Linked DNA regions of Medicago truncatula. The protein of the gene in region 3 binds, or shares a complex with, the protein of the main gene of each other region. Links are inferred from orthologs where the notes say so. Each region holds a gene or a part of one and is shown on either strand. Other genes may lie near its edges.

Region 1 (3,248 bases), on a different chromosome or scaffold from region 3:
ACATGGAAAAGACAAGGACAACTTCACTTTCTATTCCCATCAAAGTTATCTTCTACCAAACTCCATGTTTCTTCCTTCTACCACAAGCTCCATTGAAAAGGGAGCTCAAAGACACATCACACTACCTTGGTTCAAGAGTGATGGTGATGTTGGTAGTGAAAGTGGAAATGGAAAAAGAAAGGAGGCATTAGAGGGTGAAGGTTGTTTATTTTTTCATGACAAGTACAAGCTTTATTAACATCTAAATTTTGTATGCTGTTGGAAGTATGGCTATAAAGCAATATTTATAGGAAAAAGCATATCAGAGGCCATGTCTCTTAAGACAGTTTGGTTTAACTCAGGAACTCAGTGGTTGTTGAAGACAAACAAGAGAGTTTCAATACATTATATATCAGTTGAACAGAAACTTAAGAATATTCCTTGTTAAGCCCATGACAACAATGGGAGATGCATTAAAAATAAATTCAACTAGGGTTAAGGAAAAAGTTAATAGCATTAAAAACTTCCAGTTCTAGTTTAGAGTTTAGAACGACCAATTCCTTTGTGTCCATGAACTTCATGCTGCACCATCAAATTGATCAAATAGCAAACCAACCAATAAGTGAAAAAAAATGATCTGCCTAAGACATGATTTATTGTAAAACATTATAACATTGCATCCAATCTCAGTTACTGAGAAATGTTTGTTTTGATTGTTATTTTCGTACTTAACAGGTGAATACAGACAAGTAGTTAAGAAGGAAAAAGAGTAATTAATTCTTTGGAATGTTCTTGCCAACAATCTTGGCGGGGGCTATACGTAGAAGATTACCAGGCTTACCAGGAAGAGCACCTTTGATCATGATAACATTAAGATCTTTATCAATTTTAACAATCTTAAGCTTTCTGGTCTTCCTGTTAGTTCCACCCATCCTACCAGGCATCTTCTTTCCCTTGTATACGCGACCAGGTGTAGTTCCGGCACCAATGGATCCAAGTTGTCTGTGACTCTTGGAACCATGGCTCATTGGTCCTCTTTTGAAGTTATGACGCTTGATACCACCTGTCATTGTCAAAGTAAGTTCATACATTAGTGATAGATATTATTATCAACTTAACTTGGACACTAGAAGGGAATGCAAAGAGAGGGAGAGAGTTACAGACCTTGAAAACCCTTGCCGATGGTGGTGCCGGAGACATCAACAAGATCTCCTTCATTGAAAAGCTCATCAAAGACAAGGCGCTGATTAGGTTCAAAACCATCAACGGATTGAAGACGAAACTCCTGAAGATGGCGCATAGGAATGGCTCCGGCCTTTTCAAGATGACCCATTTCAGGTTTGGTCAATTTGCGGTCTCTAACCCTCCGGTAACCAACTTGTACGGCGTTGTAACCGTCAGTGGCGTCGGTTTTGATCTGAGTGACGATGTTGCCTTCTTTGAAACCGACAACAGTGACGGGAACTACTTCACCGTTAGGTTGGAAAAAGCTCATCATTCCCAATTTGGTACCCATGACACCAACACCAGCCTCTAAGCTCATTTTCACCACCATCGCTCCTCCTCTTTTTCTTTGGTGCTGCTGCAATTTCACAAATTGAGCAGAAAAAGAAGTTGAGAAGGAAAGTGAAGAAGAAGAAGAAGAATTAGAACAAGGTATTGAAATGGAGAATGGAGAAGAAATGATAGACATATTGAATCAATTGACGACGCTCGACTGTGTTTATGTTATCTATCTCAAGAGAGAGACAGAGAAGAGAAGAGAATGAAACACAACAGCAACAACAGCAAAGCTTATCTTATTCCATCCAATTTCATTTCAATACCCGACCCGCCCCGCACCAATTTCATTTTTTTTTTTTAAATAAACCCTCCATTAAAAAAAATTAAAATTAACTTTTTACACTTTTTTTTATTGGCTTCATGTTGTTAAAGAAAAGTTAGCCAACAAAAAGCTTTTCTAAATTGTGACATAGTATCAACCAAATGTTACACATTTAGTTAAAAATAATAATAATCAAAAGTCATACATATACATCTTTTTTAAAGGATTATACATATACACTTTAATTACCACAACATTATATCATTTTAATTATTCTTTTACTAAAATTCTAACATTCTGAAAAACTAAAATCCATGATCCCTACCACTTGTGTTTCCGCAAAATCAACTATGTATTTCTCGAACAACAATTCACGTATTGTTCTCAATTAATTTAAAGCTAACAATTGATTGTCCCGTGAACTTAGTTTGATTGGTAAAGATAATGCATAATATATGATTAAATGTTTAAACATGATAGTTCAGATAGAAACTTGTTTACAATTTATTTTATATTTCATAGCCATGTTTAAACATTTTTTAAAATATATTTTCCATATTTAATCTAATATTTGTTTTCGTCTTCTTTTATTTTATTCGTTTTAGTCTTATATCTTTCAAGACTTTTTTTGACAAGTCAAGACAAATAGTTATATTTGATAAATATACGAGAAAAGAATAAAATATCTATATGACCAAAATAAATGAATAATTGGTAAAAGATAAATGATAAAAATATATTTTAGCACTTTTTATTTCATTACTAAATGTATTTGTTTCAATCAACCTCACTTTCTTTCTAGTATTATAATATGGAGAAAACTTAGATACAATTCCTTAGGTATTTTTCATATGGTTCTTAACTAAAAATACATATTTTTTTGGATATAACAAACTTTGAGAAAATTATGGATTTGAGAAAATCATGGTGAATATAGTTAAGAATCATACGAAAAACACATAAGAAATTGTACCTAAATTTTCTCCTTACAATATATTACAAATAATTTAAGCCAAAAAAAATCACTCTCTCCAATTTAGTTTTTAATGTATATACAAAATAAAAATTAACCTCTAAAGTATATTAAATCCATCAATTTAATCTCTAAAATATATGAAATCATGTCAATTTAGTCTTAAGATCTTCCTAGCAAGAATAAAATCGACGGATATGACATACTTTTAAAACTATTTATTATACTTAAAAATGAAAATGAAGAGAGACTAATATATTATAGACTAAATTGATAGTTTTATTAACTATATTGCATAAATTTAAGTCTAAGAGTTATTGCACTCTTATAATTGTATTTTAAATTTAATTTTGAAAAATAAGTTTATTCACTATATTTCCACAAAAATATCATTAAAATAACTCAATAAATTTTGTTTAATTTTGACGGATGGAGTCTCTTCTCTCTCTTCACCATCATTTATAAAAAAGT
Region 2 (3,595 bases), on a different chromosome or scaffold from region 3:
AGCAATCAACAATTTAAAAATGAAATCAAACATTAAAATCAAAATTAACTTTTTCAAAAAAATCAATTTCCTGACTGAACCGTAGAAGCTCCCTTTGAAGAATCTACACAACATATCTTATCTATTCGATAAATGTCCTACACTTCCTAGTGTGGAGAGTTGATTTTGGTTGGTTGGATATTCATAACACTTTTATTAATGTGGTTTTGGATTATGCGTATCAATTTTGTTGCCTAAGTTTATAAGGAAGATGTTATTGAAAGAAAGAAAAAAGAAAAAAAAAATTATTTAGTTATCTTGCATTTGAATTATATAAAAAGTGATAAATAATATTATTTTGGTGTAAATTTTTCTCAACCTTTCGATTATGTTGAAAAATTAATCTCAATATTGGTTCATATCAAAGGAAAATAGTTTTAACTTCGAGGTATTATGATATTTTAAATGTTTGAGATTTTAATTTTTGGATTGTTGATGTTATTGGGGCATGAAATTTGCACTATTTTGCTTTATTTGGTAGTTGAATATTGTTATTATCCGCTTTATTCTTTTTTATACAAATTACCCGCATTATTCTATAATAATTTGGTTTCACTCTTGACAGTGACACATCTTGTACTTTGAATATTGATTAGATATATTATTTGAATTTTCATTAAAAAAAAAATGGTGGAATCACAACAATAATAAACTTTTTCTACATAAATATAGTTAATGGGATAATTTGACGGATTAACATTTATAAATAAGAGATTCTTGTAAAAAAAAAAAAAAAAAAAGGATCATTTATCTATTTTCCTAATAAAAAACAAATTATTTGAAGGTAGATAATTTGAGAAGAGGCAAATAAGATTGGGTTGGATAAGAAGAAGAAAAAAGAAAAGAAAGAACAATGGCGGGTTCTGCAGTATCACTTGGAAACACCTTCGTCTTCGCTTCTATGCGCTCAATTTCATCAACCAACACTCACAAACCCTCTTCATTCTCACCCCGTAACTAACTAACTTAACTAACTTCATCTCAATTTCATTTTTTTATTTATTTTTTGCTAAATCTGTGTTGTTCAATTATATAATTTTTGTGATTTCAGAATTAGGGTTCTTGAATTCTCAGTTAAGCGGTCTCAAAATCTCGTCTCAGACTTCGCTTAAATTGCCCACACCAATTGTTGCTTCTCCCTTTCAACCAATTGTTGCTAGTAAGTTATTGAAACCAATAATTCATATTCACTCTCATTTTCACCATGTTATGAACTATGTATATGTATAGTGTGCTGCCCACATTTTCATTTTTAAATTTAACAATTCTTCTGATCTTTTTTTATTTTTAATGTAATGTCATATTTTTCATTAATTTTTTCCTAATCTAATTGTGTGATATACAAACAAATGCGTGCGTTTTGACACGCGGACCGTGTGGAGCACGGGTCTGTTGCTAGTTTATGTTTTAATAAATGGAAATTATAAAATGTTATTGATGTTGTGCCGGTGTTTGACACTAACTCATGTCATTTCTCTAATTTTGTCGATTTCGTGTCATTGCTCTAATTTTTAAAGAATGGAAGTACTTAAATTTTGTCGATTTCGTGCCAGTGTTGACTCTAACACGTGACACGTCTTCAATTTGAAGTGTGAATGCTACATACTAGTTTGTTTCTTGCGGGAGTAATACTTGTATCATAAGCACTTATTGAAGTTACTTTAATGTTATTGAGTTTCTGATAAGTTGTTCCAGTAATCACCGTCTTTATGCAATAATTCCTTGTTTTTTGGTAGAATGTGATTAAGTGATATTTGTTTCAGTCTTAGGTATATTAAAGGAAGAGTTTTCTTTGTTGAATCTTGTGTTAAGTGAACAGATTAATAGAAATTGGAAACCTTTTATTTTCATAACAATATGGATAGGGAAGAAATGGCTACCTTTAAGTGACCAACTATGGTTTGTGTACTTTTTATTTATTTAAAAAGTAACATATTGCTGTTGGTTAATAAATATTTTTCATATTTTATTGCGGACAGAGAAGTTTTGCACTGATATTTACTCCAGCTTTCATCGATAGAGTGACAGATAAATACCCTTCTTAGTTTATGTTTGCCTATAGTAACAATTCTTTTTTATATATAAGAGAATAACAGAACATGCATAACATGGTGCGGTACGATTTACCTATAACTGAGTTTTTTAAGCATGTTGGTAGAAGTTTATTACATGACCTGTTTGTATATAACATATGTTACCTTATATGATTAGTGTTAAAAATGGGGTTAGTGATTCAGTTTAAGACCTGTTTGCACAGAAGGACATATGTTATGAGATGTCAATCCATTAAATAATAAGTTTTTGGCTCTTAGTTAGAGATACCATGGGTTCACCCAAAAAAAACACATTTGGTTATTGCTATTTGATGCCAAACTACATCATCATTGTCTAAAGGATGCTACTGCAAATCCTGATTATTATTATTATTGTAAATCAATTTAACTTGGTATACTTTGGTTTTATTTTTTCAGAGAGGGTGTGTCCCTTCACCGGAAAGAAATCAAACAGGGCCAACAAAGTATCCTTTTCAAACCATAAGACAAAGAAATTGCAGTTTGTAAACCTCCAGTACAAGCGAGTTTGGTGGGAAGCTGGGAAGCGCTTTGTAAAGCTTCGTTTGTCAACTAAGGCGTTGAAAACCATAGAGAAGAATGGACTTGATGCAGTTGCAAAAAAGGCTGGAATTGATCTCAGTAAGAAATGAGAGAACAAGATTATGATTGTAATTGAGTAAAAGGATGGATCCATGTTCATTAATTTTTGTTGTAGAATTTATTTTCTTTCTGTATTATTTTTAGGGACTGGGGTTGATTCTGGCTATGGTCAAAAGCAACTTGAGTTATGTAAACAAATATGAAGTTTGTGAGTTTACTATGTCATGAATCTTACAAATGGAAATCTCTTTGATCATCCCCTAAACATTTATCCTGGACCGTAGCACTGGGAATTTCAGCCTTCAATGTTACATTTTGCATTCAATTATAATCTAGCGATGTTGCATAGGTGCGGTACGGGTACAGTACCTGGTACGATACGCATACAGGTACGAGAATACAACAATTTCTAAAAACTTTAAGGTATGGGTACTTTAAAAGAATCATGAGTTTTGTTATACAATATAACATGAGACAATTAAGTTCTTCAATTTACAACAAAAACATCACAATAAAAGTTAAAAAAGAATAAAAAAAAAAAATTAGTGTTGGTTAGAACAACAACAAAAATTCATATATTACTTTATTATCATATCAATATAGAAGAGAAAGTCACAATTAAATAATGAACAAAATTGAAATACCACGAGTACCATACACGGGTATTGTGTACTTCATATTTTTACAAGTCGTATTTTTAAGAGTACCCATGCTTGAGAATGATTTAATACACATCTAGTTTATAAAAGTTAATTTTCCATTGATGACAAGAAAATGTTAACATTATGTTCAATAAAGACCAAAAATAAAACAAGAAAATTATGAGGGTGAAAACATCCCGATTTTAATTCAGGGACTGAAATCAAAGTTTATTATATTTTCTGAGGAGAAAAACATATTTA
Region 3 (2,825 bases):
GATTAAGTCGTGACATGAAGATCAAATATTCTACTTGTAGTTGGTTAACAAAAACATACATTGATACGTATCAAGATTGTTTTTATCGAAAAAAAAATAAAGATTTAGTTTATACACATTCACATTGTAAAGAGTATTTACTTAAATTGAAGAATTTAGTTTTGAGATACCCACGACGTAATTTTTTCTTACATGTGAAATCAATCAAATATTGTCAAATAAATACATGTTTTTAGTAGAACAAAGTGAAAAAATAACAATTGAAACTCGCACACAAATGAATGCACCTGATATTCTCCACCAAATTCAACAAAGATTTATACCCTTTAGTATTAATAGAAGTATAAGACTAATCATCAAATCGGATGTAGAACTATTTTTTAAATAAACAACTCTCGAAATGATTCATTTTCTTGTAGGAGGGTAAAAACGGAAATGCTTAATAGTACGAAATCAGTTAAACGGAAAACAACGAATGCACTTACTGTGAATTTGTTATTACATTTTGGTTTTAGTTCCTGTAAAAATATTTTGGTTTTAGTCCCTATAAAAATATTTTTTTTGATTTTAGTCCCTCCAAATATAAAAAATTTGGTTTCGGTCCTTGGTATTTTGTTTTAGTCCTTGTAAAATTGATTCATATTGGATTTGGTCATTGTAATATGTAGAATATTTGATTTTAGTCCCTCAAAATGAGGACTAAAATGAATATTATAGAGACCAATTTCAATATGAAATGATTTTACAACGATTAAAACAAAATACCAAAGACAAAAACCAAATATTCTATATTTGCAGAGACTAAAACCAAAAAAATATTTTTATAAGAGCTAAAACCAAAACGGCAGATATTTGCAGGAACCATTTTCATATTTAAGCCTTACATTTTTATCCTCAATCCATTTCTATATGACCACTTTACCCTTACCCTTGAATAGTTAGTGTTTTTTGAGTTTCGTCAAATCCAGTGAATAATTATCCCGTAGTGCATAGCAATGCTCGGGTAAAAAACTCTTCCAAAAACATGTTGATTGTTGATAATCTATCAATGTTCAAGTAAATAGTCAATTACCCCCTGAAATTGTAAGTTTCATCAATTATCCCCCTAAAATTAACAAAATGTCAATTACCCCCCTGAAATTGCACAACGTTAATCAATTTACCCTCTTCGTCAAATTTTTTCGTTAGTAAACATGACGTTTTGCAAATACTCCCCTGGAGTTTTACACTTATGTGCAAAATTTTATGTTCACTGACAGAAGAATTTGACGGAGGGGGTAAATTGATTAACGTTGTGCAATTTCAGGAGGGTAATTGATATTTTATTAATTTTAAGGGGATAATTGACGAAACTTACAATTTCAGAAAGATAATTGACTATTTACTCGTCATGTTCAAACCCATATTTTATCATTCAAAAACAAAACCCCTAATATTTAACCGTGATATAAAGTGGTAACAAAAAAGTTAATAAACTCAAAAAGTGGTGTGTCACACATGTTGTGCCTTCTTATCCATAAATCAATTCTCATCTTTCTCAAATTCTTCAATTGAACAAAAAAAAAAAACACAACACCATGGCACTTCTATGCTCCAATCTCTTCACGCTGACACCTCTTTCTTCTTCCTCCATTTTCCCAATTCCCACCACAACCCCAAGTAAGTACCATCACTTCTTCTTCCTTAATTTCTCCAAAATACATTCTCATGTTTTTATTATTCTTGTTGTTTCTTTTATCTTAGTTTTCTCGAACTATGTTTTTGTTTATCAGTTTCAAGAGTGCACGTTGGTTTACCCACAAACTCATTGAAGGGGCTTCAAATCTCGACACCCTTTGTCGTGAAACCAAGGAAAAATGCAATTTCTATTGTATCTGCAACTGCTGAATCCAATGTTGCAGATGGGTCTGAAAGTGAAAGCAAGAAAGAGAGTGATGCTGTTTCTGTAGATAAGCTTCCTTTGGAATCAAAATTGAAGGAGAGGGAGGAGAAGAGGTTGAAGATGAAGCTTGATAAGAAGATAAGGTTGAGGAGAAAGAGACTTGTTCAAAAGAGGAAGTTGAGGAAGAAGGGTAATTGGCCACCTTCCAAGATGAAGAAATTGAAGAGTGTTTGAAGATTATATCTGTTTGCAGGTTTAATCCTGATTTCTTCTTATTGTACCTCTGATTCTTTCCCTTATTCTCAACAATTTAGTTTTTTATTTTTTGTTATTTTCTTAATCATTCTACAATGTATCATGTATGTATTTTGACAATTTTTGTTCATTTTCAATCAAGGGTTTTAGTTTATATGTAGATGCCTTACATTTGGTTAATATTTAAATATGGTTTGATTTGGAATCAATGATATGATTCATGTGTTTGGATATTTTTACTTAGTCCCATTTTGGTTAATATTGAAAGATGAGTGTTATTTGGTACGATGAGCTTAGCGACGAAAACCAACAAATGAATAGGTGCAAAGAGTGGAGCAAATATAACTCTGTATTTGGGTGAATTAGCTGGTCAACACTTTTCGTTGGTTATCGTCGGTGCATTGCTCGTAACCATGAGTGTTTCTCATTGAAATAGGAGTTTAATTTGGAATCTATATAGTTTAGCACCGACACTTCTCATTATAGGTGTGTCCGGTGTTCAACACGTGTGTCCGTGTCCGATACATATGGTTATATTCAATTATTCATTTTTTCAAATTATTTGTGTCGTGTCAACTGTAAATGTCTCTTCCTAGTACATTTCTAATTCATCAAACAAGAACAATCAAATCTTTCTCCGAGTTTTCTCAGATTTTTCATCTTTTCTCCTATGGATTTCTATCTTCAC

What was found.
Region 1: 50S ribosomal protein 5, chloroplastic (region 3) and 50S ribosomal protein L3, chloroplastic share a complex: the UniProt entries of both Arabidopsis thaliana proteins name them as parts of the 50S ribosomal subunit. The link is inferred for Medicago truncatula from reciprocal best matches to the Arabidopsis thaliana genes PSRP5 and AT2G43030.
Region 2: 50S ribosomal protein 5, chloroplastic (region 3) and 50S ribosomal protein L28, chloroplastic share a complex: the UniProt entries of both Arabidopsis thaliana proteins name them as parts of the 50S ribosomal subunit. The link is inferred for Medicago truncatula from reciprocal best matches to the Arabidopsis thaliana genes PSRP5 and PRPL28.

The regions. Positions count from the first base shown.
Region 1 is NC_053044.1:58,756,475-58,759,722, reverse strand, and holds 50S ribosomal protein L3, chloroplastic, read right to left. Parts: upstream 1,755-3,248; 5' UTR 1,673-1,754; coding exon 1,144-1,672; intron 1,043-1,143; coding exon 753-1,042; 3' UTR 599-752; downstream 1-598. UniProt on the Arabidopsis thaliana protein: One of the primary rRNA binding proteins, it binds directly near the 3'-end of the 23S rRNA, where it nucleates assembly of the 50S subunit.
Region 2 is NC_053042.1:15,742,896-15,746,490, forward strand, and holds 50S ribosomal protein L28, chloroplastic, read left to right. Parts: upstream 1-831; 5' UTR 832-892; coding exon 893-992; intron 993-1,090; coding exon 1,091-1,198; intron 1,199-2,510; coding exon 2,511-2,743; 3' UTR 2,744-2,955; downstream 2,956-3,595.
Region 3 is NC_053048.1:41,272,789-41,275,613, reverse strand, and holds 50S ribosomal protein 5, chloroplastic, read left to right. Parts: upstream 1-1,493; 5' UTR 1,494-1,577; coding exon 1,578-1,659; intron 1,660-1,772; coding exon 1,773-2,116; 3' UTR 2,117-2,317; downstream 2,318-2,825.